4 linked regions of the Alligator mississippiensis genome follow. The protein of the gene in region 1 binds, or shares a complex with, the protein of each later gene. Links are inferred from orthologs where the notes say so. Each region holds a gene or a part of one and is shown in the gene's direction. Other genes may lie near its edges.

Region 1 (7,550 bases):
GACATCCCCAGCCCCGAGTCCTCCACGCCCAGGCACCTCCAAAGTTTTTTGGTGCTCACTTACCAACTGCGAGCCAAATCCCAGCCAGTGCCATTCTGGGCAGTTTAAGTGTCATATGTTCACACCCTTGAAATTAAACTTTCTGCTGGGGTCCTTCAAACATAGCTTTAGAATTTCTTTATGCTACTTTTCAGCCCTTAAACTTAAGCTTGCCTTTTTCAAATGGGCTGGTCCTACACTTACAAGGATTAGCCTTGAACACCAGAACCAACTTTGAGCCCCTTGCAACAAGCTGAGAGGTAACGGACTTGCCTCGGCCACACCAGTGATTTTGAAATGACTAAAAACCAATACGCATCTGTTGTTTTCTACTCACTTCAGGAGAGGGATCTAGCCCAATCCGTTTATCACAAGAACTGCCTCCCACTTTCCTCTTAGATTTCAGAAGCTGCCTTGTGACTAAAGCTGAAATTCTGACACCGCCGTGTGTGCATTGGCCAACGCAGACGTGGTGAGAAATTACAGTCGAAAATGCATGGACTCGGTTGTGATCTATTGCTTTGAATCTGAACTAAAGTCAAAGCCAATAAAGTCATCGCATGCTTCTGCTGCAGCACTTATACCAGTGGGCTACAGAAACCAAGTTGTTTCTCAAATTAATTAGGTACAGTTGGTTAAAACACTTCCAGGAGCAGCTGATTTAAGGTCAGCTTGTCGCACCTTAGAAGCTCATAAGTCCTCTGAGAGGCTTGTCCTACTGAGTGCTCAACAGGTGTTGGCTTCTGGTTCTAGAGCTGCTGCTGTTAAAAACTATAATACCTAAAAGCACAAGGGTGCATACCCTTTGGGAGCAAAAAGCACAGTAAGCAATTAAATGAGGCTTCTTCTGTTAAAGGAAGATCACGCAGTGAAAAGGGAGTCTCCTGCTGTGCCTACCCCAGTTGGGGTGCCTTTGAAGTGCTGGACAGCTGTTCTCCAGCCTCTTCCTGTTGTGCTCATTCAGAGCTGGAGGCTGGCTTGGCTTGCTCTTCCTCCACCCAACCTGATTTCCTTCTATGATAAGGTGACGTTTTGTGGGTGGGAGAGCCCTCGACTTTATTTAGCAAGACTTTTTAATGACACTTTTGTTAATTAAAGAAATATGGACTAGTTGAAAGTACTGTAAGATGGATACATAACTGGTTGGATTATGATATTCAGTGAGCAGTCATCAACAGCTCTGGCGGGGAGGAGGTTATCAAGAGGGGTTCATCTGGTATTAACACCCTTAACAATTTGGATAATGGGATTGGATACACCTTTCCCAAATTTGCAAGCAACCCCAAGTTAGGTGGAGTTGCAAATCGTTTGGAGCACAGAGCTAGGATTCAGAAGGACCTGGATACATTGGAGGAACGAATCAATCAAATGAAATTGAGCAAAAAGTGCCAAATCCTGCACTTGTGCATGCAATTATTTCACACCAAGTACAGACGGGAATGGCTAGCTGGACTGTAGCACTGTAGAGAAGGACCTGGGGGTTACAGTGGACACTAAGATGAATGTGAGCAATTTGTGTGCCCTTGTTGCAAAAAAACCCAACAGCATTCTGGGTTATATTAACAGGAGAGTCACTTGCAAATCAAGGGAAGTGATCCTTCTGCTGCACTCAGTGCTGAGGAGGCCTTACCTGGGGTACTGTGCCCAATTTTGAGACCCATGCAAGATGTGAGCAGACTGGAAAGAGTCCAGCAGACTGTGCCAAAAATGATTAGGGGCTTGGGAAACATGAGGGAAGGCTGAAAAAATGAGGGTTATTTAGTCTGGAGAATTTAATAGCAATCTTCAGGTACCTGAAGAGCGATTTTACAGAGGGTAGAGACAGACTGTTCTCTGGCTGTAGGGGACAGGACCAGGAGCAATGGCCTTAAGCTGCAGCAGAGGACATTCAGGTTGGAGATTAGGAAGAACCTGGTGACCCTGCATTGAAACAGGCCAGCCAGAGAGGCCGTGACATCTTCATCCCTGAACATTTTCAAAAGCAGGTTAGACAAACGCTTGACTGGGATGGTTTCGCCAAGGATGACCCTGTCCTGAGCAGGGGGCTGGACTAGATGACCCGTCTAGCCTTACTTTCCTATGATCATAACAGGCCTGTTGCAGATGGGGGACGTGTTGGGGGAAACCTCGGCCCTTCCTGAAAAATGTAAAAGCGGGCGCAGCTTTGTCACTGCAGGATGGGAACCTTGAGTTTCTTAGTGGTGCTTCCTAGTCCTGGCTTTGGGCAGCACCTAAATAGCAGGGGGAAGTTGAGAACACTTTAGCTAATGACAGAGAAGGGAAATAGCCCAGTGCATCTGCTTGATGTCATCTGTATGTAAATGCCTGTTTAAACCCTTGAGCTGTAAGCATCCCCGTCTGACGATCAGCTTCTGCGTTCTCGCGGCCAACCCAGGAGGTACAGTACAACTTCCACGCATAAAACTGCTCATGTAACTGCCTCCACATTTTTGTGTAGGGTCCTCCGTTATTTTTCAGCCATGTCTGAATAGTTCCCCAGAGGTGATGATGTGAAAATACCCGTCTCCAGCTATAGGCCTACAGCTCCTAATCTGTAACCTAAAGCTATTTTTACAGAGGCCTGCTTCCTGAAGAGCAGGGTTACATACAACGTGGAGGGTCGAGTTACTGATTGGAAGGAGCCGAGTTCCCGGGCCCAACTATCTTGTGCAACTTTGCTGGCTCCTAGCCCCACTGCCCCAGATGTCTTATCAATCATCCGGAAGTCTGAGCTTGCTGCTGCAAGTAATTTAGGGTTTCAGCTCTGCCAAGATGGGTCAGTTTTGAACAGATTAGAAGAAAGGCCAGCTGCCTGCTTCTAAATTAGTGTCTTGGGTGATAACAGCTGCAGTTACACTGTTGGGCTCTTTGTACAGGCTAGGACAGAAATGACACACAAACCAGTATACGTGATTGGAAACCAATTCAGATGTGCAACAAACAGAAATTCAGTGCGTGTAAACCACTTTCAAAACGGCCAAAACCGGTTTAAGATGAACCCGGATGGGTGTAGCATCCGACTGAACTGATTTTGGTTAAACCGGTTCATTTAAATTCTGTCCCAGAACCAAATTAATTTACAGTCCCCCAGCATCCCAGGATGCTTTGCATCTCCCCCTCAACCCCCCACCTTGCAGGGTAGGCAGACTAGCCTTGGCCTGGCATCTGCTCCAGCCAAGCAGGAAGGCGTGCTCTAGCACCCCCCAGCTTCTGGCCTGGGCCAGTGCAGGCATGTGGGTGCAGTTCAGGAATCAAAAGTGCATGTCTGTTCACTTACTTATCAGTCCAGTCTATGCAGCTTAGACTAACCTGCAGCGGCTGCATCGATTCAGCCTCGGGCTTTCTAACTGTCTGCACTTGGCTTATAAGTGAGTGATTACACCGTACATCGTCATCCAGAACTGAGTGCAGTATCTCACACCCGTATGTCTTTATGGTTCATATAGCGGTGTCCTGAAGAGCTAGGTGAAACCTCTTGAACACCTGTCATGAGGCAGTTTTGTCTTATTAACTGTTGTACAATTTTTCCACAAAACATTTTTTTCCCCTTTATTCATGGTCAAATTTGAAAAAAATGATACAGGATCTGGAAAGGAAAAATCTTACAATGCGACTAAACTGATATCTATATAGCGAGAGATTATTTTGAAAATGAAAGTTTTAGTATTAAACTATATTAGAAATCTTTTTGTTACATTTTCAAAGTTGAAAAAGTAAAACAGTTTCAAGGATTTTTCCTTTTTCTGGTTTTTCTCCCTCTCAAGTGCCAGCAATAGCTCTGGTTGGTCGCAGACCTAAGCACGTGTCTAATTCTGTTCTGCTGCATTGGTATCAACTTGTGAGACTAGTCCCAGGGGTCGTTACATGCATCAGAGCTGCTCGCTTGCACGCTTTAGTAGGGTTGTGCTTCTCGAGCAGGGTGCTGCAGCACCTGGCGTGCCATGCGATCCTTTGGAGGGTGCCAGGGGATGCTGGACAATATTAGCACAGTTCGACACATCAAACATCCCTGCGTGATATACAAGATAAGCTCAGAGACTTCAAATAAGAATCCAGAGGGTCAAAAACCTGTCCTGTCACGGTCTTTCTGAGTTCTTTGCAGTGGCAGAATTGCCGTATTATTTTTCAATTAGTTAAAAAACAAGTGAAATTAGTTTCTGACATGGGGTGTTGCTAAATTCAGAGAAGGATATTGGAGAAATTAAGAACCACTGACTTAGATAATACATTGATGGGTGTGGTTGAAATACGTAAATAGAGCAAGATCGAACCTTTAGGCCTTGCCATGCTGCAAATGTGTAACGCAGAGATCTACTTTCGGTATATTTAAGCAAACTCACCAAGTACAAGAAACTATAAGACGCAGCATGTTTCTTTAACTGGGGTTAATCTGGTATGGAAGCCATGAAGTCAGTGGGTTTCCATGCAAAATAAAAAAAAAGTGTCAAGCCTTAGCTCTGCAAGCCCCAGAAGAGGCAGGAAGAGGCAATCACGGATGTGGGTTAGATTAGACCTCACTGCTGCACAAAAGATCGGCACTGGAGGCAGAATTGTCAGCAATGAACCCAGAAGAGCAAGCGGTGACATGGCTTATTTCCTTAGGAGTTTTGAATTCCCCCAAAAAGATCATCAGTGATCCAGAGGGATTCCTGAAAACTTCCCTGAAAGACGGGGTCGTGCTGTGCAAGTTGAGTAATCGGCTTCTTCCGGGATCTGTGGAAAAGGTAACCGACCTCGCTCATATAACCCCTTGCTCACTTCCTACTACAGCAGCGGCGCAGCGCAGCTGCAGGACCCGTCTTGGTGGACCCGGAGTGGTCTACTTTAGCAGGAGGTGCCGTGCATTTTGGCTTTTACTTTTCTGGGGTTGAAGGCCTGTTTCAGAGGGACTCGGGTATTTTATCTTGTGACCCAATGATCGTCTTTGATTGGCTGATAAGTTATTCTGTTGGGCAAAATCAGGCAACAATATTGTGCGTGTGACTTGCAGTTACGCTCGAGTCGGTTGCCTTATGTGGGCTCTTCCATTTTTAAAGTGGAAACGTTTAATCTACCAGAAGTCCATTTTAGCTTGATCGATCTTCCTAAAAAACTCCATTTATTACATCTGACGGTGCTAATATTGTCCAGCATCCCTTGGCACCCTCCAAAGGATCTTATGGCAGTCCGGGGTGCTGCAGCACCCTGCTCGAGAAGCACAATGTAAATAATGCAGACGATGAATACTTGAGCTTTAAATACAACTAGGTAAATACAGCTGTGCAACTACGTAAAGAAGCACAGTGGTGTTGTTTTCCTGTACCCCACCAGGTAAAAAACCAGACTCGAACAGAAATAAAAGCACTTGTCATCCCCGCCATTTTCAGCCAATTCAGTACATTGAGTTAATCCGTCTCAAATGTCTTGTTAATCAGTACATCCATTTCCTGGGTACATAAACAGGCAGTCTAAATCGGCAACAAATAATTGCAAGGGGGAAAAGAGGAAGGATCCCGATCAGAGCTAAAGAAATGGCCACGCAGAAAAAAGGCTGTTTAGTAAAAGGCTCAAAAACAATATGTTCCTTCCTCCTTACAAAACGGGAACTTTTTATTTCGAAAGCGGCCCTTGTGTTGGCTGATGTGCCCCTCTGATGGCATGCGTGGTGCTTTGGGGCAGCGTGCTCTGAAAGGTCATGAGCTTCTCGCTGTCACTTAGGGCACTGTCATATGTTGACATTCAAAAACAAGATGCCGACCATTTAGATTTATGCATCACTTCCTCCAGTGGCTCTTTCTTCCTGGTTCGACAGCTTGCCTGCCACCCCCATCCTCCCCCTAAATAAGCTTCCCTAATTCGGCGTAGATCACACACATGTCAAACATCCAGCATGCAGACCGCGCTGAAGGTACTACAGTAACCGTGGGGGGTTTTGCTTCTTTAGTATTGTCTGGAGCCCAAAAATGAAGAGGATTGCATCGGAAACATTCAGGAGTTCTTGAAAAGCTGTGCAGTCCTGCAAGTAGAGGTAAGTCATTCTATTAGTCTCCATTATATTTTTTTTTTCCCCACTCTACTAATTGTGTGATTTGTAATTATTCCTAAATGAGGCCAGGTGCCAGGAAACTGAAGTTACTGTCAATCTCTTACGTTAGCAACGTGCATAAAAGCCTGGATCATTTAATATTCTGGACAGGGACTCTGCACAAGGTTTTAGCGATGGGATATATAATGCCTCGGAGTTGAACATACTGCCCTTCAAGCCTCTGACACGAAGCAAAACGCTGAAGTAGGAACGTATAATAATATAACGACAGTCTTCCTAATGCATGCTAGTAAGCTGGTTGGACCGACCGGTGAATCATTTTTTTCAGTGTTGGGAGAGAGGTCACCCCGTTTTCAGCCCCGTGTTAACTAGTTGCATCGGATGATAACAGTCGGAGTGTTGTAGGTTGATACCGTGTCTTCCCTTGCAAAGGATCGTTTCACAAAGGGTGAGCCCAGTAGGGCAACTTTCTACATTTGCGTCTCTCACACATACTCTTACACAGAGCCCGAGTCCTGCCAAAGGACATAAGGAAGGGAGGAGGGACAGAAGAAAGAGGTCTTTGTATACCCCCAAGCCTTCCTGTCACCGAGCGAGGCCAGTCCCTGTGCCCAAACGCAGGCACACTGTGTGTTAGCGTGTGCTCTTACACAACAAGCTGCCGCAGGGTATGAAAATGAGTCAGGAGCTGTTCTGCGTGTGCTCGCTCCTGCTGCGCGGCCTCCCTCAAGTTAGTGTAAAATGCCATTAATGAAGAAAAGCCCTGTTGTGTTTCACATCGGCAACGTCCCACGGAAAGCAGCCGTCGTTTTTCAAAATCGTCACTGACTTCCTAATGGTTTGGTGGGGGGAAAAAATGCAATGCTCAATTCCTGTGCAGGCAATAACCGTCCACAGTTGTTACCGGGAACGAATCGTGGACTCCAGGGGGAAAGGAGAAGACCCAGCCGGTGCTGCTGCTTTTCACCTGAAGCTTTACATTGTGTAAGGAGAGTTGTTTGCTTGTCAAAGCCCTTACTCAGCTGACGAGCAGGCAGCTCTGTTATTTCCAAAACTGTCTCCTCAACCTGTTGTTTCCCAGCAATCTGGTGCCGGAAACCTGCTGCCGGCTGCAACAGCTTAGTTTTCAGAGCAAATATATTTGCTCGTTGAAGCCAAAAGAAACCTGATCGGGGCATGGAGGCAGCGTTTGCCAGTTCTGATTTTTTTTTTTATCCTGATTCTTGGTGACGGTCGATATTTTCTTTGAAATCCCCAGCTGCTGGAGTCGTGTGATGACCGGGGTGTTTCAGCTCTCATTTAAAAAAAATACAAATCAGAGTTTTAGCATGTGGGAGAAAAAAGCTCGAATAACATATGAATGCTGCAGGCTCAAAAGCATCCATCAAGCAAGGGGAAAGAACCCAGAAGGTGTTGTTTGGCTGAAAAATCATGAGGTTTTTGAAAGCAACTCGTGATCTTGAGAGGGTTTGGTAACACTGAAATC
Region 2 (7,916 bases), on another chromosome or scaffold:
ATTTGTCTGCCCTTGTGTTTACCTACTGCAGTCTCCGTCCTGGGAGTCAGTCTGCCGCCTGGACTGAGCTCCTGCCCTGGGGAGGAAGCGTGTTGCACACACAAACCTGTAAGCTATGGTCCAAAAAAATTATCGTGCTGATGGAGAGGCAGGTTGGTTAGTGGTTAGATGAGGCAGCACAAGAAATGGGGATGCCAGCTGCCCTGTGGAGCCTCCTGACTTGCTTTTTCATGTGACTCCCACATTCTTCGACTGTTCAAAGTCAGTAGAAGCTCTGGGCGGAAACTGAGGCACTTGAGTGCCTGACTTTAGGCACTTCAGTGGGAAATGTTAGTTTTAAACCCATCTGGACAGTGGGGTGGTACGTTGTTAAGTCACACTGATGTATGCAAGAACACCTGTCAGCCCGTATCTGACAGCACCCCTGCTTGTCCAGAGAGGAAGGCTGGCTGAGGCTCTGGACAGTGTCCCCCAGGGTCTGGGTTTTGTTCCCAGCACGGCCTCCGATTCCCATCCTGACCTGGAGCAAGTCACTGTGTGCTTCACTTCTGAAACAGGGGTGATTCTTAGCTCCCACAAAGTGCCTGTCGTCTTCATTAGATGGCAAACTCTACAGGCCAGACCTTTTACTGTGTGTGTGTGCAGCACCCAGCGCAACGGGATGTTGGTCTTGTGGGACCCCACAATAACAGCAACAACCATAATAATTAATAATAATACATCTCTGTAGGGAGCAGCTATGTAGGAAGAGTCATTTTATTCTTGTAAGATTTCCAAGACTTCTCTTCCATGTTTATGTTCTCAGACCCAAGTCCCTCCCCTTTGCCTTCCTACCCCACTGCTTTTCTTTACTATTTTCCATGCATCTAACATAAATAATTACTATTTTCCCCCACTCACATTTGAGTTTTATCAGCATACAGACAGCAAGCATCTATCCTGGGCTCTCAGTAGTACAGCCCAGTTATTATAAACATTAAGCATTGCATTTTAGCTCTAAATTTGAAGTCAAAGTTTATTTCTGACTTCCTTTTCTGCACCTCGGTGCAGTTGTGTTGTGCAGCTCTGGAACACGCTGCGTTTCACCCCAGAGGGGACTGCATTTGCAAACATTTACATTTTATATACGTGTGTGTGTGTGTGTGTGTGTGTGTGTGTGTGTGTGTGTGTGTATTTGGGGGCTTTTTTGGAAACTTTCCTTTTCAATTTCATTGGTTCAGCACAGATGGGAAGACTGACCTTGCCCCCTCATGGATGCTCTCTTCTATCCCAGGCAAAATGATGTAGGCAGTTCTCAGTTCAGTTCCTGGTGAACGGGGGCCTGAATCCAAAAGAAACTGGACTATCACTGACATTAGACTTGTAGGCAAGTAGAGGTGTCACACGAACTGGGGATGTGAAGTGACAGACTGTCATACCCTGTCCTGTTGGGGTCCCTGCAGTCATGACGGTGGCAGCGGCTGTGCACTGTGAATAAAGAATGAGAATGAAGATTGTGAGTCCCCTTCCACAGAAGCAGAGACGGCTGCAAGAGGTGATGGTTTTCTTCTACAGCCCTTTGAGAAAGGAGGAAGACTGATGACTGAAGAGGCTGGGGAATGGGCGTGCTGAAGACCAGTGGTTATTTTTCAGGTAGCAAACTATAAGTAAAAAAAAAAAAAAAAAAAAAAGATTGAGAAAAAGGAGTAAAACTGGAGAGAAGCATCTTCTGTCACCAGAGATGGACGTAACAGCATCTCTGTAGCTGAGACAACCCTCAGGCAAGTGCGCGCTGCTCTTGATGTCAAAGCAAACAAGCCAGCATTTATGCCTCTGTCTCCAGTGCGGACTGTTGTTGCTGACCCCACACTTCTGCAGCTCCTGTAAGGTCTTAGCAAAGGAATGGAATAAATCCAGCTTACAGTGGTGTAGAAAGTGCAGCAGGCCCGTGTGACAAATGCCATATCCTGCAAGGCAGGACAGCTTCAATCTGCTCTAAATTTAAATAGTGTAGACCCTACCCTCGTTGCAGATGACACTGCTTATCGGTGGCTCTGAAGTGACCTCTGTGTCATGGGTCAGCTCTCTATTCAGGGGACTTCTGCCGGCCCATCGTGAGATCTGGCAGTGAGCCCATGAAGCCTCAGCTCCTCTTTTTTGGAGGAATGAGTAGGTCACATTGGCAGGGCTGTGGTAGGAAGTCTTGTATGGCCACTACCTAACTGGTTTTGCATAGAGACCATTTTGGATGTAGGCATCTTTCTTTAGGGTTGTTAATCTAGCTGTTTTTGCAAGCACCAGATTCATCTGCACAGAAAAGAAATGGTGTTGGGAGGTGGCTTTCAAAATGGGCGTGAGGAAGAAGCATCTCTTGTTTAATTGGAAAGGTCCAAAGCAGCCAAGTTACCTCCCAGGTGGGTCATTTCTTGTTGCCTACTCCTATGCAGTATCTGAACTTTCTGCCGTCAAGCAATCATCAAAGTGAGCAAGAAAGACAGAGGCAGTCTAGCAAAACTCTAACAGGACTCCCACTTATTTGTGCTCTTACTGTAGGGCTCCCTTCTCTTGTCATTGTACTCTATAGCCCTTCATTAACTCGTCCTGTTTTATGGTCATCTGCATGGCCATCTCTGAAGGTACCTCTGATGGTAAAAAAGGAAAAAAAAAAAGGGTAAATATAGAACAGATGCTTAAGTGCACTTGAATAAATGCATGATGGCTGCAGACCCATCAGCACACACCTCCTGATCGTTTCCACCTGCTCACAGAGCACTAAATGTCCGTCTCTCTCACTCCATCCCAGATGGACGGTCACTGAGTTAAGTAGTTCTGATTAAACAAAAGCAGGCTTGGTAACTTCATGTTTCTCAAACCTCTGAATTTGGACGAACCTTTCAAATCATTTGTTTATGCTTTTGTGTCCATTTGTGTGTTGGGGTTATGGGGAATGCCACTGGGAGAACGAGATGAGATGCTATTGGGAACAACTGCTCCCAAGGCATTTCTTGCTTGACACAAGCCAGTAGCTCCCATTCATCCTGCAAGGCCATCCTTCTTAGGAGGTTCCCAGCTCATCATCTAGGGCACAAAGCCTGAGGGAAATATCTGAACAGTCAGATCTGCCAGCTGAAGTCCAGATAGCTTGGGATTTTCCTATCGTATGCATATCACTTCTTGTGAATGGATAACATATGAGTCAAGATGAGTCTGAGTTCTTCTGGAAAATGTTTTAAAGTTAATTTATTTGGTCCCTTCTAACCTATTTGAATGGTGAAAAAATTCTCTCCTGTGTAATGTTAGGTGGTTAAAATATAGCAACTGCGGCTCATCCCTCTTTGTCCCAGTTTGCTGTGTGAATTCGGGCAGTGACGGTGCAGCTGGGTGGAAAGCAGGCAGTGGAAAGTCACTCGGTAACCTCTCCCCCTCAGTAAGATGCAATAAGAGTCCTCTGTTGTCCAGCTGTGATCTTGCCTACTTGACCTGAACTTGTCATTGCCATGTTGATTGGTTCATTCCTGCGCTGTCGAAAAGTTAGTGCAGAATTCCTCATGCAAGGCCTCAAAACCAGGCCTGGACTTCTGTAATGACTGAGACTCGCTTTTTGTAATGGGCTGGGCTTTCTTAGCAGAGAAATTAAACGTTTCATTTCTCAGTATTTTGATCAGAAGCTCTAAATTATATCAAATCTTAATGTATCCCCTGACCAGCTTGACCTGGGCATCTTGAGATGTGAGACTGGAGTGCAGTGGTGGCTGGGAGACTGCACGGTGGCATTAAAGACAGACACGGTTCCTTGGGTGAATTTGATATTTTTTATTAGGCCAACCCAGATGGTTGGAGAATAGTGGCATTAAAGACGTTCTTTGTTTTCTTGAAGTGAATGTAGCACCAGTCAGAGGTGTTGGATTGGGAGCCCTGGAAACCCACAGTTTCTGCTTATTCCCAGGAAAGGTACAGCACAGGCAGCAGCGGGGAAAGCTTTCAGGTTACCCCAGGGGTGAAAGCTTATGGGGCAAATAGCAGGGCTCTGTCTCCAAGCCTCTTCTGTCCCCGACCTTCTAGCAGATCAATTTGGTACCCAGACCAGGTGAGGCTGGGCCAGTGCAGGCAGGCGCTGTGCAAATGCCACACTTGGGCAGCTCATCCCCTGTCGAGTTCTCATGGTTTTTCATGATCTTGGGATGCCAACACTGACTCCTCGGTGAGAACAGCTAATGCACTTGCTCCTTGACCGCCATTCCTCTTCTCTCGGGGTATGTCCATGCCCGTGACCAAAGGCACGTCTTCGTCTCTGCTGGATGCTGTGACAGCCTGGACGAAGGACTAGGTAAGTCGCTTCTAAGCTCCGCTTTTGAAATGGGAGATGCAGGGAGTACAGCTAGTTGGCATGGGTTTTTTTTCTTCCTCTCTCCATGGTTTGAAACATTAATAGTGCCCATTCAAATGTAATGCTATTGAGCCCTAGGAGCCACAGGCGGACTCCCCCGTGCAGTCAGAATCCGAGTGGTAAATAGGCTCCTTTCTTTATCTCGTGTGATGTGCTATAATTCAGTTTCAATGTTGAAAGGAAAAGGGCCTCCAGGGGAGTCTAGAGCTCCGTTCAGTCAAGTTCTAATTAAAGTTTTCCCCTCTCAAGTTTCACTTCATTTTCCGGGGCTTTTGCTTCTTGATGATTAACATGTGTCCCATGGCAAGGAACTCATTACACCCTTCCTCGAGCCCCTCTTTCATAAAGACCTAGGCACCTTTTGTTGCAAACAGAGCTGCCTTAAACTTCATCTTTGCAAAGATCAGCTAGCCAGGGGCACGTGCAAGCATGCTAGCACCCAGGGCAGTGCAGCCCCTTTCCCTTCCCTCCCCCTCCTCCAGGAAACCATCTGATTTTTCCAGTGCAGTTTGATCAGATGTGGCCGTCCCGTGGAGGCAATCCAGTCCAGGATTTTGTCCAGCCTTTTCTTCACTTTTCAAGAGGCCAGGCCAACTCAGGCTTCCTTTTCCAATTCCAACAGGCTTATCTTTTTGGGGGCAGGAGTTGTTAGTACAGTTTATCTTGCTGGCTGCGAGTTTTTTCCCTGCTCAGACAGTGCACTCCATGCCAGGTTTTTGTTGGCGGAGGGTTTTTTTTATTCCTTTTCATTTTATTTTAAATGTCTAAATTGGAGAGTTCCTATTTCCCCCCCTCTTTCCACTCCAATAAACGCTGGAAGTGCTGCCGCTGCGTCAGAGTGGGAGATTGAGCACGCGCGTGCATGTGTCTATGTGTGAAATCAATACAAAAATGTCAGTGAACAGCAGGAAAAGTTCTGGGAGACCATCCTACTACTACCGACTGCTTCGGAGGTCACGACTTCAGAGACAGCGTAGCAGATCCCGGAGCCGGAACAGGCCACTTAGCCGGGGTAATTGCAATCAAACTTCCATCTAATTAAAGTGCTAAGACATGCTTTCTGTTGCTTACCAGCCAGGTCTGCTGCTAGAGGTAATGACCGGTGCAAGTGCTCATAGGTGTACCTGCACGCTGCAGAGTTGACAGTGATCTTTGGGACAGGTGAGTTGCCTGGGCAGTGTTGTGGGCCAGGAGTGGAGGTAACAATAAGGACGTGGGTCTAGGAGTCAGGACTCGGAGGTTTTATTCCCTACATTGACATCCAGTCCTTTCCACTCCCTGTCCCTCAGCTCCTCTACCTGTAAAACGAAGGTAACAGTGCCTTCCTAGCTCCCTGGGATGTTTGAGATCTAATTGATGTTTTTAAATCACTTTGAGCTTGGTGAATAAGCTATGCAATCTGAATGCAAAGCCCTTATTAGAATTTGTTCTTCTTTCCCCACGGAGCACCTCCAGGGGCCTTGACGCAGCGTGCCTCTGAACGTGCAATTTCCCAAGGAGTCTGAGGACTCAGTCTCCTAAGTCGCAGTGAAAGCTCCCAGGATTTATATCCCAAAGTCACCTGGGCGCTTTAGCAAATCTCACTCTAAAAGAATATGCTTTTCCTCAGTAGTGGGAGCTGGGTCCAGAGAGTGATGTGTCTTTGGGATGTACGCAGTCGAGCGGTCCATTCATCCTACTGCAGGCGGCTAATGACCCAGCCACGCTTTTAAAAAAATAAACTGCTCTGGCTTTCTCTTCCCATGTGGAATAAATCTTTACTGCGGCTTGTGCCTAAAGTTAAAGCACTAAAAGAAGTGACCTGTTCTGTCTCTGAGTCATGTTGTTGTTGAAATGCCTTTCCAGGAGGCAGAGGAGGAGGGCTGTGCATGACTTCTTCTGTGCCAGGTCAGGCATATTTAAAAGGTCTCGGGCTTCTCGGTGGGCATTACTCAAAGCCGTTCCTTAAAAGGGATTTTTGTTGTTGCTGTGTGAAAAGAAGTTTATAACTGACCCCAAACTCCAAGGCCCAATTCTGCTGGTGTTAAAAATGGTTTTACGCTGATCTCACTGGAGTCGAGTCAGATTCACAGCGGTGAAGGCGAGTGCAGAATTTGGCCCCAAAGTTTTTGCTTGGTTGCTGTCTCCTCCCATCTGGTTCTTCTCCTGGAAGAACTCGTTCAGTGTTTTGAATCATTATTCGGGAAACTATAAGGAAACTAGCTCAGTTTTTCCTCTAAGTAGATGGCGTGTTCCTTTCCACGGTCGATTCCTGTTTTGTCTGGCAGGGAGCGGTGCTTGTTTGTAGACTCGTTAGCACGTACCAGTTCCTTTTCCCCGCTTTATTTGTAAATCGTTCACAACCAAAACGTTTCACCGCCATTTCAGTTACTGGGAAAGGCGAGAAGCATTCGCTGCCATAAATAGCCCACCAAGGACTAACCATCACCATTTGCCTCAAATGCGGGCTGAAATATTTAGGGAGATGCTAGGCAGATTGGGAGATACTAGGGAGATGCAGGCAGATTGGTTTGAAATCTGCCCTAGTGCTGATTAGAAACCAGAGCTGAACTGACTAAAACCTTTGGCTGCTGATCAGGAAATAACAGATAACTTTTCCTCCTCCATGTTTCTGGTTTTATGCGGGGTGCTACTGGGGTTCGTGGCTTTAACCGGTGCGATCTTAATAATCCATTGCACTTTTGTAGCTCTTCACATCTGTAGATCTTGGAGTGCTTTGCAAAGTGGGTAAGAAATCCTTCTTGACTCATCCATTTTAAGAGATGCAGAAACAGAGGCCTGGAGGTGAGAAGTGACTAAAATTAAAATGCAGCAGGTTCGGCCCAGTATCCCAGTGTGCAGCCTAGAGAGGCTAGTAGTGGCAGTACTGGACAACCATGAGACGGACCTTTCTTGAGATGTCTGGCCTAACTGGAAGGTTAATGAACAAGCAGCCTCATGAAGGTGGGAGCTGTAGCATGGCTAAGGAGCGCACACAAGTAAGGATGAGGTGCTGAGGTTTGTATGCTCATCTGGCCTGAATTTGGAAGCTATGTGGGCTCAGGCAGCATTAACCAGTGTGAAGTGGCACGACTCTAGTACTGGGGGTTTTGTTTTCAGACATGGTGAACTGGTTGCCTTTGAGGTCCCATTGATAAGCTGAAGGCCGCTTGATGAAGTTGCACTTGGTCCCTGTTCTCTGGTCTACCCACGTTCCCGAAGATCTCTTGGAAGGACTCGCGGGTGGCCATGACGTTTCGTAAAGCGTGGACGAGCAGCGCTTGAACATTATAGAGTGAAGCACTTCACGGTGGCACCAAACCTAGCCTTGAGCAGTGACATAGAGTATCTCAGGCTCACAGGTATCACCCCCAAGGGAAGGTATCTTCAGGTGATATGAGGCTATTAGAGACTCATAAATACTGTAGAGAGATCCTGCAAGATTGAGCTAGGATCTGCTCAGCCAGCCATGGGCGTGCTGTGCAGGATGCTGGTGCTTTACTAACCACATCATCCAGGGATTTGGCTGCAGTCCCATGCAATGCAGCAAGAGGGATTTGCCAGCAGCTGG
Region 3 (7,485 bases), on another chromosome or scaffold:
CCATTATTTCAGATAGAAAAGTGGAGAACATTCACTACCTGTCATTCAAATTTGTCTCTGCGATTGCTGGTTCCATTTTACTTGCCACTATCTAGTCCAGGGGCAGGCAAAATGTGACCCAGAGGCCAGATGCAGCCCACCAGGCCATTCTATCCAGTCCGTGGGGCCCCTAAAAAATTTAGAAAATTAATATTAATCTGCCCTGGGCTGCTTGTCATGCGGCCCTCGATGGCTTGCCGAAACTCAGTAAGCGGCCCTCTGCCCAAAATAATTGCCCACCCCTGATCTAGCCCCATTTACTTTTCATATCCTACATAGAGCAGTGAGGCTTTTAAGCATGACATGAGATTTTACTGGGTGTGCTCAGTTAGTTTCTCTAACATCTTAACAAAAACACTGAATTCTTTGCTGCTGCTACTCAGTCAGCCAGGGGAAATATTAAAGGGCATCTATACAAGTGCTCTGGGGTGGGGGGAAAGGTGCTTTAATTAGAGCGTCTCTGAGATCCGCTCTAATTAAAGTGCCTTCAGCATCTGTGTATTCAATGCTCACGCTTCAAAATGGCAGCAAAGACAATTTAACTAAAGCTTGTTCAACGAGATTTAAAGTGCCCCTGCCATAACTTTGAAATACAGGGACGCTGACTACACCTGACGCGGAGGCTGCTGGAGCGTGCTAATTAGCACGCTCCAGCAGACTCGCAACAGACTCAATTAATGGAGTCTGCTCCAATATGTGCTAATTAACATGCATCGGAGCAGAGCTTCATCACATGTATAGGTGCCCAAAACGACTACAAACTGAAGAATGTTCTTCCTACCTGAACTCTGAAGTGGAGTTGCCAGACAAGCAAAAAACTTTGGAAGCTATTTAAATAATCTGTTCTGGAAAAGGTAGTGACAAGGGTGGGGGCAGGTAGAAGTAAAACTACATAGAATGAGCTCCAGATAGGTAAGTAGGCAAACAATGGAGAAAGCCTCCCCTGACAACAGCAAGCCATTGATGGAAGAGATGAATCACTACCACTTGGCCTGTTTTAATGTTAATGTATGTAGAGTACATACAATGTAGCACTCAGTGTTCTTCTGTACTATAAAACCACTACTGAATAACTGAAATGCAGAATGTAACTCACTTAATTTGTTGAAGCACAAATGAAGTCTGTCTAACTTAAACTGAAAATATCAAAAGGTCATTGTAAACACTGTACCACTTCAACAGGAGTGTCTTACTGCACGAACCAGAAGTATACGAGAAGCGAACATTTTCCCTACACTAACTGCTTCAAAATGCAAGAGAAAACAAAAGGCATTTGCAATACACATCAGTCACTGAGCAAGCCTAGCACAAGAAAACTAACATTTCATTCACGCAAATGTCAAAGTTTGAGGCTACCCGCATGCTGTATACTTCAGGGGTCAGGAGGCATATGGGAGGCCATACCATTTATTTCTGAAATAATGAATCAGCAGCAGTGAACAAGGAAAACAAACTCTCTGACAGTGGAACTGGAATTAGAGGATGGAGGAGGAAAAGAAGTCATTAACAGAAACTGGCACTTGGTTTTGTTATCTCTTCACATTTTGCTTTCAATTCAAAATGCAGCAAAGGAACTTTCACATTTGACAAGATCTGACACAGCAGAAACCTGCCCCTTTTCAAGATCAGTTCATTACATTTATCTAAAAGATACATTTGTTTTAGAGGTTTATTTGAGCCTGTTGTGAAAAACAAGAGCCTGTTTAGTGCAGCTATTAGAAACACTGTTTAGATGCAAAATCTAAAAGGATTTTGGAATGGTGTTTCTCTTTCTTTCAGTCTCAAATAAAAGACTTATTAACTTCCTTTTAAAATACAAAGGAGAGTCAATTATCCAAACTAATTGGACCCAAACATTGTTCATAAAATCCAGTTGTTTGGCTAATGAAACACACTAAATGAACACACACCAGTGCCATTCTCTGAAGCAAGCCTGGCATCAGAATTGCCTTTTCCAGTTTGTGGATTATTTCAGTTTTTCCTGTCATTAAAACAGTTCTCTTTCTATTCAATGCCATTATTCTCACTTGTACCATGCACCAGAGGTTGGCAGCACAGCATGCAGTTAGATAAACAGTGTGTGGATAATTCACGTTCTACTGTAATTTTTCAAATATTTTTGCTTTTTCATACTTGCATTTCTCATTCAACATTTTATCTCATCATAGGTACCACTGGATGGACATGGGAAGCTCCTATTGAAGTTACTGCACTTAGACCTACACTGTGCCAGCTAATAAAAAGGATGAAGAAAGAATACTGTGGTTCTTGGATGGATGAGCCTGTTCTTGTCATGCTGCCTGTCCCTTCAACAAGCCACTGACTTTCACTTACCCTTTTTGAGAAATATAAGACTCCTGGAGCATCTGGAGAGAGAAGTTTCTTGTTCAGGTAGGCAAACACTACAGAAAAGGACCTGGGAGTTACAGCCAACAGTGTGCCCTTGTTGCCAAGAAGGCTAATGCCATACTGGGCTGCATTGGTAGGTGTTGCCAGCAAACCAAGGGAAGTGATTCTTCCCCTCTATCCAACACTGGTGAGGCCACATCTGGAGTTTACTGTGTCCGGTTTTGGGCCCCCCATTACAGAAAGAGTACAGACAAATTGGAGAGAGTCTAGTGGAGGGCAACAAGAAGGGTGAGGGGGCTGGGGTACATGACTTATGAGAAGAGACTGAGGGAACTGGGCTTATTTTGTTTAGAGAAGAGAAGATTGGGCACATCTACATGTGCATTAATGTGCCATAGGTAAGGCACATTAAGTGTAGTACCTGTAATAACAGGTACTAACTGAATACACAGTAACTGGTGCTACTGCGCTGTAGTGCCAGTGCACACCTTTTTAGTGATGCTAATGCACAGTACACTAATTCTGTCAGGGGGTGTACCGCCAATCTCAGGGGACGCACCGCCAATCTCAGGGGACACACGTGTACCCCCTACGTGTCACCAATGAGTGGAGACCAACTACTGGTAAACATTTTCCTATGAACCAGTGGTATTCATCTGGCACAATTTTACTGAAGGTAAATCAGGTGAGGCTCCAGTTTTGTGTCTGCTAGAGGCACTGTCTACATATGGCAAATATTAATTAAAACAATAGCGTATTTTAGTACAAATAGTTACAACAGCTTTTATTTCAACACGGTTCAGTGAGACGGATGATTTTATCCATGGTAGCATGAGAAGGAAAGACTGACAGGATGACCTGCACATCTCTTCAGTAGAACAAGCTCCAGGGAAGAGTCTGAGGGCAGAATAAAGAGGACTTCACCTGCTGTGCCCTCATTCTGTCCATTCACTTTGCTGTTGACATGGCCCTGGGGCACCTACCTGCTGCCTCCTTCACCCTCACATCTCCATATTGGCTGTGCACCAGTTGGAAAGCAATTAACCTTGAAGAGGAAAACCCCTCCTTGCTGGAGCCACAACAGATCCTGCTGGACAGACAAAAGTGTCACTGCAGGGAAACCCAACAGAGTCTGTAGTGCTGCTGGTACTACGAGAGATTTTTGGTGGAGCTGGAATCTGAGAGAAAGCTCCATCTGTTAGTATATTTTTTCTAATATTCAATATTGTAAAAAAAAAAAAGTGTCCAAAATGTTCAATACCCACCCAGATAGACCAAGTCCTATTAAACAACTATATTTGATCTAATGTAATACAAGCTGTGTAATAGGGAAGTCCACTCGGCAATGACTTTAGCAGCAATAATCAGTTATGTGACCAGAAAGGTAGATTGTGTTCAATACCCAGGTGGTGTAAGTGGGACAGAGGTAGCTTGTCGCTCATGGGCAGCATCTCAGCTCATAACAGTAATAAGGATAAGATGCCAACGCATACGAGGATCCTGGGGGAAAGTAAAGAAACGAACCGGAGTTAGGCTATTGCTAACGGAAAACATGAATCAACTTTTACCTTCAGAAAGCAAAACATGAACGAATTGGGATTTTACTGCACAGGAGCAGACTCCTGTACTGTCGAACAGACCCCAGACCACGTCTCAAAATCCCTCGCTTTGCAAGCACTTACTAGTTTGCGAGCTTCTTTTAAAAAAGGCAGAAAAAAGAGAGATTTACTGAACTCCGATTTTATGAGAGGAGAAAATGAAAGCGGCGAGGGGACAACTGAATACCACCTGGCGAATACCTGGTGCGGTGCTGCGACAACCTGGGGAGATGCTACACGGGTTGTTTAAATCCGTAGTGGCGCAGGGCTCCCCTTCCTCGTCCCTTAGGAACGAGCTCGGCCCTTGGCCAAGGAGGTGGCAGGAGCCCTTTGCCCTCGCATCTCCGGGCTCCTCCTCGCTGCCCACCAGATCCTGCTCACGAAGAAGCACCGCGTTCAACACGACTGAGTCCCGGTGTGGACATGTTCACCCCCCGGGCCGGGCTCTAATTCCCGCGGGACAGGCCCCGGGCTGGCCGTGAAGCAGCCCGAGGGGCCGGGCGGAACGAAGCTGGGCGGAACGGAAGGCGCGGGGCGCGCGCGCGGCGGACGGCTGCGCGGTGGCTCCGCGCTCAGGTCTCGCCGCCGCCCGCGGCTCCTCCCGCGATCCAAGATGGAGGCGCTGAGCCGAGCGGGGCAGGAGATGAGCCTGGCGGCCTTAAAGCAGCACGACCCCTACATCACCAGCATCGCCGACGTCACGGGCCAGGTCGCGCTCTACAGCTTCAGCCCCAAGGCCAACGAGTGGGTACGTGCGGGCCCGGGGCCGCGTCGTGCCCGTCCTGCGCGGGGCCCTGCGCCAGCAGCCTGGGGCTCCGGCGGCTCCCCCGGGCCCACGAGGCGGGGACCTTCGTCTCGAGGGAAACAGCCTTTTCCTCGAGTGCCGGCGCCGCCTGCCCGTGCAGCGGCCGCTGCTGACAGCCGCGGGGCTGGTGGCCGGGGGAAGGCGTTGGAGACGCGTGTCTCCGCGGGGGCAGGCGCTCCCCCCAGGAAGGTGGAGAGGAGAAACTCTCGGTGCCCTCTGCGTTTCCCGAGCAGAAATGAGCGATGTGAGCTGGCGCTCAGAGTTTCTGCTGAAGTTACAGAGGTTCACAGTTAGAGGCTGGAGCTGGCGGGCTTGTGCCTCTTCCTTTCCAGACCCCCACCCGCCCCTGCCCACCTCCGCTGAAGCAAGTGTAGCTTCATACACACGAGTGCTCAGTTAGGAACAGGCTCTTGTGAAAGCCCTTCTTTTGCGGGGGGGGGGGGGGCCACAGTGAGGTTTTCTTTTAATTAACTTTTAGTGTTTAAAGCAGGGGTCAGCAGCGTTTTTGGGCAAAGTGCCCCAAACACCTGTAACCTCGGTTGGTGAGATGTTGGTGTGCCAGGGAGGGAGAGTGTGGGCGCCGCCCGGGGCCCAGTCCTTGTTGTGGCTGTGCACACCTGGCCCCTTTGCCCACAAGCACGCGTGCCAAGCAAAATGCCTTCACGTGCTACACTCTGGCACGCATTGGGGGTTTCCTATCCCTGGTTTAAAGCAAAGTCGTGATGAATGAGTAGAACGAGATATCTGTGAATGACTAGGAGAGAACAAACGGTATGCTGACTTGACAGCAGTTATGTGCGAATTGTCATTTAGGTCTTCTTACAAGACAGTGTGTATTCTTCTGGTTGTTTGTGGAGTTAAATGTATCCTTGTCTGCCCTAAAATGGGATTTCCAAGGAAAACTCTGAATTTTTCCTTTGCCCGTTTGGTTTGCACACGAGGGAATTGCAGGATACTACTTATTACTAACAAGGGAATAATATTGTTCATGCAGGCCAAATGATGTATATAACCACATGTTGCCTAATAGTTTTAGGCAGATATGTGAAATGCAAGAGAATTATACTCTGTCCCTTTTGAGAAGGTGGAATCAGTTTATCATGATTTTAGTCAGCAAGCTGCGTAACTCTGTAAGCAGACATATAGTTGAAATAAATCATTGCTGTCTGTTGTAGGAGAAGACTGACATAGAAGGTACCTTGTTCGTATACAGAAGGTAAGGTATTTTATGTAAAAATATATTTTTTTGTATATAACTGTTTTGTTGATCTTCAGTCATGTTTAACTTTCCAGCTATACTGGTTTCTGTTGTCCAGAAAAAAATAATCTCCAGCTAATTCTTTTTCAAAAAAGAAATGTAGCACCTAAGCACAATTCCTACAAAAAGAACAGAAGATTTTTCAGGAGCAGTCTTGACACACAATTACATAGAAGTGGAAAATTTTAATTGGGCTATTTTGGTAGTGCATGATCATTCACTAACTAGTATATTCTTCTGTGCCGTAAGTGACTCAATTGATGAGGCTTTCTCCCCTTCTTGTAGTTCAGAAATTCCAGATGATAAACGTTAGCATAATTTATATAATTTTTAAGTCCATACAATTTAAAAGCCGCTAGTTTATGTATGAACAGTTTTGGGTGTTTTTGATGAGGTTATTGAGTGACCTTGAGCAACATGGCCAAATACTTCTTTTTAGTAAGAGTTAATGTAAATATAACCAATGATTTAGACCTACCCCAAAAGCAAATCAGTAAGTTTGCAGCCTTTCATTGTTCCATTGTATGTAAGAAATGGGAATGAATCCACCCTTCCTGAGAGACAGCCACCATTTAGTATTTTATTTGATAATCACGTGGTCAAGTGGTTTATATACTTAGTTTTCATGGACTTCACTTGCATCCCAATACTATGAGCACTCAAGCAAATTGAATAATTTTTTACTACTGGTTGCAGGTCTAAATATTTTATTTGAAGCTATTCATGATAGTAAAATAAGTACTGTGTATATTTAAATCTTGAGATTAGCATGTTTGGCCCTCTCAGGAAAGTTTGCATTTCACTTTCTTAAACTTTAACAGGATGTGGCCATGGTGCTGTTGAAAGGTTAACCTTTCAAACAGTTAATCACATCTGATAAGAATAGAGTAGATTTACGCTTGATTCCCAACCTGCCTCCCTCTCCTCCCCCCCCCCCCCCGAATGCCCCATAACATGACAAAAAAAAAAGAGCCGTCCTAGTGCTACAGTGTTACTTGTACAGTACGTTTTAACGGCATGGCTAAGCATGCTTATAGTGTTCATGTGATTAAGAATTTTAAGGGGACAAAGATACAGCCTTTGTCTTGAGATTGATTGATTGGTTTTGTTTTCAAATTTGAGTCCAGAGCAAATCTTACACAGAATATCTTTTATACTATTTGTTAAAGCAGTTTTTCTTTAGGTTTTTTTTGTTTTTTTTGTTTTGTTTTTTTTTAAGGAACTATACTCGGGGTTAGGGGAAAAGTAATTCAGAAGGAAGAACTCTCCCTTTACAGGTCTGCTCTGAACTCTTATTCTAGATTTTAATGGAACTGTACCTGTTTAAGGTAGGGGTAAATTTGACTTGAAAACATTGGGCCTTTTGATGTGACATTCTGCAACAGGGGCCAGAGCCCACCAAGTAGAGGTATAAGCCCCCCCTTGATGAAGGGGAC
Region 4 (6,970 bases), on another chromosome or scaffold:
CTATATCTGTTATAATCTCTTAATAATAGCAAGAATAGAATAGAATAATAGTCTATAAATTTGGAAGTACTTTGACGTGGTCTCTCAGAGGCAACTAAGAAAAGGGGGGAAATGACTTTGTGCCCCTTTTATTTCCTTAGCCATGATCTACTAGCACTGGCAAGAATTGCACAGGTTGAAATAAATCCGTTTCTAGGTTGAGTGAGGGTTGCTCTTCCCACAGTTGTTAGAAACTGATATAATTAAGTAGGACAGCCTCCTAGTTTGGATGCAGCTATTCTCCGAAGCTATACAGGCACAAGCATCTTTTACCGGAATGACTGCTTCTGTACTAAGGCAGTGTTCAAGTGGTACAAGAACTAAGTATAGATCTTGCCTTCGCTAAATTGTCGCCACCATGCAGCACAGATGCTCTCTACATCAATTTGGAGCAGTTCATGTTGAATTGACTTGCTTGGTAAACTGTCTCATTAGAACCGAGTTATCTGTCTCAGGCACTTCACAAGAAAACGGGGAAGGAGAAAAGAAATCTGTCTTTGGCGTTGAGGTCACTCACATTCCTGCCAAAGCAACAGGGATCTTATATGAAACCTTGCTGAGTTAGGACACTGAATTTAGTGTCCTAAATTCAGCATTTAGGCAAAGCATTTGCAGGAAGCCATTCTGCTGAGGTGGCTCATTCCCTTTTCCTGGGGGCATGAGGTGCTTCCAGTTTTCCCAGCTCTTTCGACATTTAAGGTCAGGGTATATAATACCATGCCCAGTCCTTACCAATGCCTGCCTAAATACCAAGATGTAAAATGCTGTTGCCACTTCCTCTTGATAAAAATGTCATAGCACCATTGCTCCTTGCATAGTTCCCAATTCAAGAATAGACATGTGTGTATTTGTGGGAAATTGGGTTGCCAGATTTGTCTGTTATCCCTGCAGGAGTCAGGAGGTGAAAGAAGCAAGGACAGCCATTGGGAGAAGAGAATTGTGAAAATGCACAAGAGAAAGGTCAGAAAAGTTTTTTAAAAATCAGGACATGTCACAGATGTTGTCTGATGCATCATTTTAATGACAAATTTAGCCCTACCTTAGTTCCAGAAATATTTTTCAAGTACTAGGACTCTCATACATTTTCCCCCAAAGTACTTCTGCTTTAGAGGAAGTGTAGGAAGAAGTTATTCCTAGTGTATGCAATTCTTCCTTTTGCATTTGGCTTCAGACAAATCAGCTAGGACATATCTACACTGAGTTTCTCCATCAAACCTCTCAGTCCTGTGGTATTTATCACCAGTGCTGCTCCATTAGCAGCCGCTGTGGCCTCTCCCATCATGATAGCGTACGGGGCAGCCGTACACTCCTCCCCTCCCCATACTTACTGGCAGAGGGACCCCAGCAGCTTTGCTACTTGTTCCTGATCAGCTAGGTGGCAAAACCATGAGAAAAATATGCACTCTTTTATATGTGATGATGCACCTGACCATTTGCACCCCTTTATTGACAGGATTTGCCCATGGGAACAGGGCCCTGGAATAAGGTGCCAGTCACACTGCTACTTCTCAGACCAGAACCACCCTTGAATCTCTGCCTCCCTGTCTAAGGGCAGATGGTCACTGGGTTCAAACAAGGTGGGAAAGAACAATCAATTCTGGAAAGTGCTAATTTTTTGCCCTCAGACTCCCTCTAGCCCAGTTCAGACATGAGGCCCCCTCCATAGGCTCGAAGCACCCCTTGGAAAATGTCAGCTCTTAGCTGTCACTTGTTTTTCAGCTACAGAAAAATATTAGCGCAACCCTTGCCTTGCAAAGAACTCAGAGGGCATGCAGCAGGCCAGAAAGGTTTTCACACTAGAGATCCCCATTTGAAATCTCTGGGTTTATCTTGTGAATCGTGCCTGCACCACTACATAAGAACTGCCATCTAGTTGCCCCGTGTCCTGTGTCACACAGGGGCAGACAGCGGATGCTGAAAGGGAGAGCAAACCGGGGCTGAACACTGGTCCTCTCTCACTTGCAGCCTCCAGCATTTCAGATCTAGGACAGGGGTGTTCCACCTCTGGCCGGCAGGCCAAGTTTGACCCATGGAGCCTGGTATCCAGCCCACAGGGCTCCCCACAGGTTGGGGGATCTGGCGGCAAGGGAGTGGTGACAATTAATATGGCTGCTCCTCCCCTCTGCCAGATTCCCAGACCCTAAGCCCTGTGTGGCAAATTGGGGCTGGAACACACCCTCTTCCCCCTTCCTAGGCTGGATCAAGTCCAGGCCATGCGCTCTCTCCTGCTGCCCCTGAGCGGCCAGCTCAAGCCCCCTTTGCTCCTCTGGGGAGCCAGCTGCCCCTTCACATGGAGAGATAGGGCCCCACTGCAACACCACCAGATCTGGCCCACGGAGGCTCCCATCTAGCCTACTGAACAAAAAACATTGAGCACCGCTGGTCTAGGAAGTTCGGGGTCAGAGGCTGTGCCCCTAACTCCCATGCTCAATAGCTGCCGATGCCCCTTTCCTCCGAGAACGTGTCCAATCCCTTTTTGAACCTGGCCAAACTGTCGGCTTCCCCTGCATCCGGCAGCAATGAGTTGCCCACCTTCGTGACACTGGGTGAAAAAGAACTTCCTTGTGCTAGTTTTAAATTAACTACTCACCTTATGTGGTGACCCCTGGTTCTAGTATTGCAAGAGAGTCAACAGTGAACGCATCCTTATTTACTTCCTCTTTGCTGTTTGGAATTTGGTAAACCCTCCTCACGTCCCCGCTCCAACGTCTCTTTTCTGAATGCACCAGGCCTGGCTTCTTCATACCATCGAGTATCCTTATTGTTCTCCTTTTCTTTTTTAATCTTGTGTCTCGGGCCAAAGCAGCCAAATCAGTTGAGCAGAGCTCAATTGTTCAAGTCTGTGCAGTGCTACCACAGGCAAGTCTCCTTCCTCCCAGACTTTTCAGCCCCTGGGGCTTCAGATGCTCCCAAATCCATGGTAGGTGTCCTACGTACAAGCCCCAAGCCTTGGCATTCAGATGCCCCTTGATGTGCTCGCCCCTAGCTAAAAGGCCAAAGGAGCAAGCTAGAGGGAAAGCCCAAGAGCAATCCCCTTCACCATAAATTATGTCGCTGAGATCTTCCCATTGGGAGGGCTTAGCAGACTCTTGCAGGGGAGCCTACCCCAGTGCAATGGGTGGGTCTCCACTCTCAACAGCGCCAAGTTGCTCAAGGCCAGGAAGAAGGGGATCTCCCCTGCCAGGTACATATGGGCCAGGACTATCAGCACGGTATCTCCACTGCCAGGCAAGCTTGCTCTCCTCCGAGCTCACAGCTGGGCTGCCGCAGGCTCCTGCCTATGCTTTGCCCATGCAGCGAGCTGAGCTGTCCGTGCTCCCCATCTGTTTGGTGCAAGCTCTGTCCAGCGCCAACACCTCACCCCAGCTCTTCCACCCCTTCCCTTGCAGCCTCCAGCAGGGGTAGGCAGCCCCCAGCACGGGTGCCAGGCTGCAAGGCATTTTGCTTGGCACGCTCATCTCAGGGCAGACGGCAGGGAAGGGTCTGGGGGCTGCCCTGCTACAACATCGGCTCCCTGCCCTGGCACGCCGACATCTTATAGGCATTTTCAGCCAAACAAACATCACCACCCCTGAGCCAAGCAAACTCTGCCCCAAACCCCCTCGCTCGTCCCTGTCCTCCAAGCCCGAGTCCAGGCTAAAGGGGAAGCTGGGGGGCAACAAGCGGCTCATGCCCAGGCGGCAAAGAGCTGCCCACGTTGGAGTGGGCTGGTGGTCCTTGGCATGCTGCGGTGCCTGGTGGGAGAAGCAGTGAGCATCCCTTGGGGTCACTCAGCCCCTTGCCCTGTCCCTCCTGTCCCGGGGAAGCCCCAGCCCGTGTGCGGAGGAGCGGCAGGGCGCCGGGGAGGTCGCAGCCCGGCTCCTTCGCCCGGGGCTGCGGGGAGGAGCTCGCACCCCGCGGCCCGGAGGCGGAGCGGGAGGCGGGCACGGCTCGCCCAGGGGCTGGAGCCGGAGCCGGAGCCGGAGCCTGCAAGCAGCCGCGGCCGGGCAGCACCTTGCAGCGGCGGCAGCAGCAGGAGGTGAGTGCCGGTCCCCTTCCCCGCATGCAGCCCCGGGGCTCGGGAGGAGCTGAAGTTTGGGAGCCGCCTCCTCCGGCTCTCCCCGCGCAGCCCCGATGCTCCCGCAGCATCCGCCTGCGCGGCGCCGGGCGCTCCCCCGCCCCTGCGGCCGCGACCCGCACCTCTGCCCCGGCTCGCACGTTCCTTAGCTGCAGAATTGCTCTCGCGCGGCTCCGCGGTCAACGAAAAAAGCAAAAGCAGCGAGCCAAAAAAAAAGCTCTGGGGTCGCACCAGGAGCTGAAAAGCGTAGCAGCCCAGCCCGTGCCCGTGGCAGTGCCAGCTGGCCCCATCCGCTGACTGTGCAAATGGTGGTTTTTGCATCCTTCATCCCACCCTGCCACCTGGGGCTGGTACCCCAGTGCTGCTGAGAGCCGCTGCCTTGTCTCAGCTGAGGCAAGCGGGCTTCCCCAAGTGCCAGACCGAAGAGGTAGGTCCTACAGGTGTAATAAGGCGGAATGGGTGTGTTTTAGCCATGGCTGAACAGTGAGAGAAGAGCGGGTGTTGTGGGGAGAGGCGTGCGTCTGGTTTTCAGCAAGTCAGAGCACAAGAGGAAGAAAGTCTTGTCCTTTTCCCTGGGACTCAAAAGGTTGCATATTAGCATTCGCCTCTGTCCCATCCTTTGCGTGTGCCTTTACTCTGAATGTCTTTTTTATGCTTTGGGAGCTTTGTGATGTATTAGATCTCAGCCCGCAAGGTAAAGCAGATCCGTGGTGACTTTGGGAGCTGAGGCCACTCATTCTTACCTTTCATGGCTGGGCTCGGAAAGAGGCTTTGGGCTCATCTTAGCCTGGGTCCCCTGAGAGGACTTTGTTATAATCCTCTCTTCGCTTGGTGCCGGTTCTTTGTAGGAGTAGGAATGATTTTCCTGCAGAGGAGGGAGCTGGAAACCAGGAGAATCGTAACGCTGCCGTTCCAGCATCGATTACTTTTGCTTTTTACTGAGACAGAACTTCGCCTTCTGTCCACACAAGGCGAGAAATGCTGAAGTTCAGGGATGGAGGGTGACAGCGAGGTGGATAATTGGCACGTTTGAACCCCGTGGGGAGACCAGAGATTGCAAGTGGGATGCTAAAACTACCTCTCCTATAAATGACTTTGAAATCAACCCCAAAAATAAGTTTGAGGAAGAAACCAATCTTGCTGAATGAGGACGGTAGCCAGCTTGCTGACCAGCTGAAATACCTTCTTGGTGAATATTGTGTGTGACGTTACATTGCAAGAGGGGAAAATGTAGCAAGAGAGAAAATGTGAACCGAAAGACTTGAATTTCCCACACCACGAGGGGCCTGAACATTTTTCCTTGCAATTAATTGACTGCATTAGATGAACATGCATTTTGGCATGTTTACTTTTATCTGTTTTAAATGCAGTCCAACCATGTGACCCAAAGGGTCACGATATTAACCATTCCTCCTATTTACTTGATATCATATGGTGTATTTTTTGTTCCTGGTGACCACACCACAGCTGATAACAGCCCCTCAACTGGGCATCCGCCAGGCTCCTGTGTTTGGGTCTCATTGGGCCTTGTCCCAGAAAACTCAGTCTAAACTGAGCGTGTCCAGGAAGGACATGAGAAGGAGAAATGGTCTCAAGTTTAGTCACAGAGGTTTGTGGTTCATGTAGGACTGTAAGTTCCTTTATTTTTAAATGTTATCTCATTTTTTTTCTGGGGGTGGGAACGTGCATGTTGCAGAAGTTGTTTGGATGAAATGCTTTCTTTTGGGAGGCACTGTGGTGTCCCACATGGTTTTGCAGGCCTGTTACAATATGCTCACGATAATCATCCAGGTTTTGGACTGATTGTGTGATCTGGAGCTCCAAATGTTTTGGTTTTGGTTATTGAAGCTATCCAGCTCCTTTTTGATCTTTCCATCTAATCTGGCATGCAGGTTAAACAATAACCTTCTTGGATGGTTTCTTTTCTCATACAGCCTGTGCTCTTTGGACCTGACGTACCACTCCCTCGCTCTGCTTCTGGGCTGATGTAACACTGAAATCAAGGGTGTTAGACGGGTGGGAGAGTGGAATAAACAGTGATGAATTAGGCCTGGTGGTTTTGGTTTTAAAAGCTAACACAACTGTCTCCTCCTGTCTGCCAGTGCTGTGTGTCTTGTGTCTACCTAGAAAAAAAATAAACCAGGTCAAAAGGAGGCAACAGTGTAAATTCACCCAGTTTTATTTCTTAATCTGAAGTTATTAACAGTAAACACTTGCAACCTGCCCTGGGAGGAGAGGTGTGGTTTGGACTAGCAGCTGTGCAGAACAATATGTAGTTGGGTTCCCTGAGTACAAAGGTTAAAAGGACCAGAGAGGATGGGAGAAAGGTGTATTTTTTTTAAACAGATGGGAAACCTGAGTTGTAGAGAGGAAGTGACTTCCTTGAATTTACACAGTAGGTTGGTTGGTTGCAGAGCTGGGAGTCTTTTGAGTTCCAGTTCAGTGCCTTAAGTGCAAGACCAGTTTCTCCAGTTACGTGGATGAATCACTGCTGAGAAATCAGTGTAGTTGACATAAAAAACAAATCCCCCAAAGGCTATAGCAAAGACTTCATTGAGCTGTTCTTTCTGTTGCTGGTGGCATTGCTGACCTTTCTTTAAAAAAAAAAAAGAAGCTAGATTGGGGAAAAATGCAAAAATCTAGAACTCTTGGTTCGGAGATGATACCTTTTATTACACGAAGTGAGAAAATGCAAAGAAAATGATCTTTTTTCTGCAAGCTTTTGGGCTCACACGCCCTTCATCAGGCTCAGGGCAAGTTAAAGATGGGAAAAGGTCTCCAGGTTGTAGCCGGCCTGGTCTAGAGGGAAAAGGAACCAGAACTCAAGGTGGAGGTGATTTCTTTTGCAAAAATCTCTAATAAGATCTGATAAGG

The links.
Region 2: ARHGEF6 (region 1) and DAB2IP share a complex: the UniProt entries of both Homo sapiens proteins name them as parts of the cytoplasmic complex. The link is inferred for Alligator mississippiensis from reciprocal best matches to the Homo sapiens genes ARHGEF6 and DAB2IP.
Region 3: ARHGEF6 (region 1) and DCP1A share a complex: the UniProt entries of both Homo sapiens proteins name them as parts of the cytoplasmic complex. The link is inferred for Alligator mississippiensis from reciprocal best matches to the Homo sapiens genes ARHGEF6 and DCP1A.
Region 4: ARHGEF6 (region 1) and PAK1 share a complex: the UniProt entries of both Homo sapiens proteins name them as parts of the cytoplasmic complex. The link is inferred for Alligator mississippiensis from reciprocal best matches to the Homo sapiens genes ARHGEF6 and PAK1.

Annotation. Positions count from the first base shown.
Region 1 is NC_081831.1:79,759,100-79,766,649, forward strand, and holds the start of ARHGEF6 (rho guanine nucleotide exchange factor 6), read left to right. Parts: upstream 1-4,533; 5' UTR 4,534-4,598; coding exon 4,599-4,763; intron 4,764-5,962; coding exon 5,963-6,046; intron 6,047-7,550. UniProt on the Homo sapiens protein: Acts as a RAC1 guanine nucleotide exchange factor (GEF).
Region 2 is NC_081835.1:64,551,256-64,559,171, forward strand, and holds the start of DAB2IP (disabled homolog 2-interacting protein), read left to right. Parts: upstream 1-4,898; 5' UTR 4,899-5,236; coding exon 5,237-5,378; intron 5,379-7,916. UniProt on the Homo sapiens protein: Functions as a scaffold protein implicated in the regulation of a large spectrum of both general and specialized signaling pathways.
Region 3 is NC_081835.1:25,101,183-25,108,667, forward strand, and holds the start of DCP1A (mRNA-decapping enzyme 1A), read left to right. Parts: upstream 1-4,473; 5' UTR 4,474-4,599; coding exon 4,600-4,734; intron 4,735-5,966; coding exon 5,967-6,007; intron 6,008-7,485. UniProt on the Homo sapiens protein: Necessary for the degradation of mRNAs, both in normal mRNA turnover and in nonsense-mediated mRNA decay. Removes the 7-methyl guanine cap structure from mRNA molecules, yielding a 5'-phosphorylated mRNA fragment and 7m-GDP.
Region 4 is NC_081824.1:471,028,177-471,035,146, reverse strand, and holds the start of PAK1 (serine/threonine-protein kinase PAK 1), read left to right. Parts: upstream 1-3,953; 5' UTR 3,954-4,057; intron 4,058-4,243; exon of another isoform or gene 4,244-4,523; intron 4,524-6,970. UniProt on the Homo sapiens protein: Protein kinase involved in intracellular signaling pathways downstream of integrins and receptor-type kinases that plays an important role in cytoskeleton dynamics, in cell adhesion, migration, proliferation, apoptosis, mitosis, and in vesicle-mediated transport processes.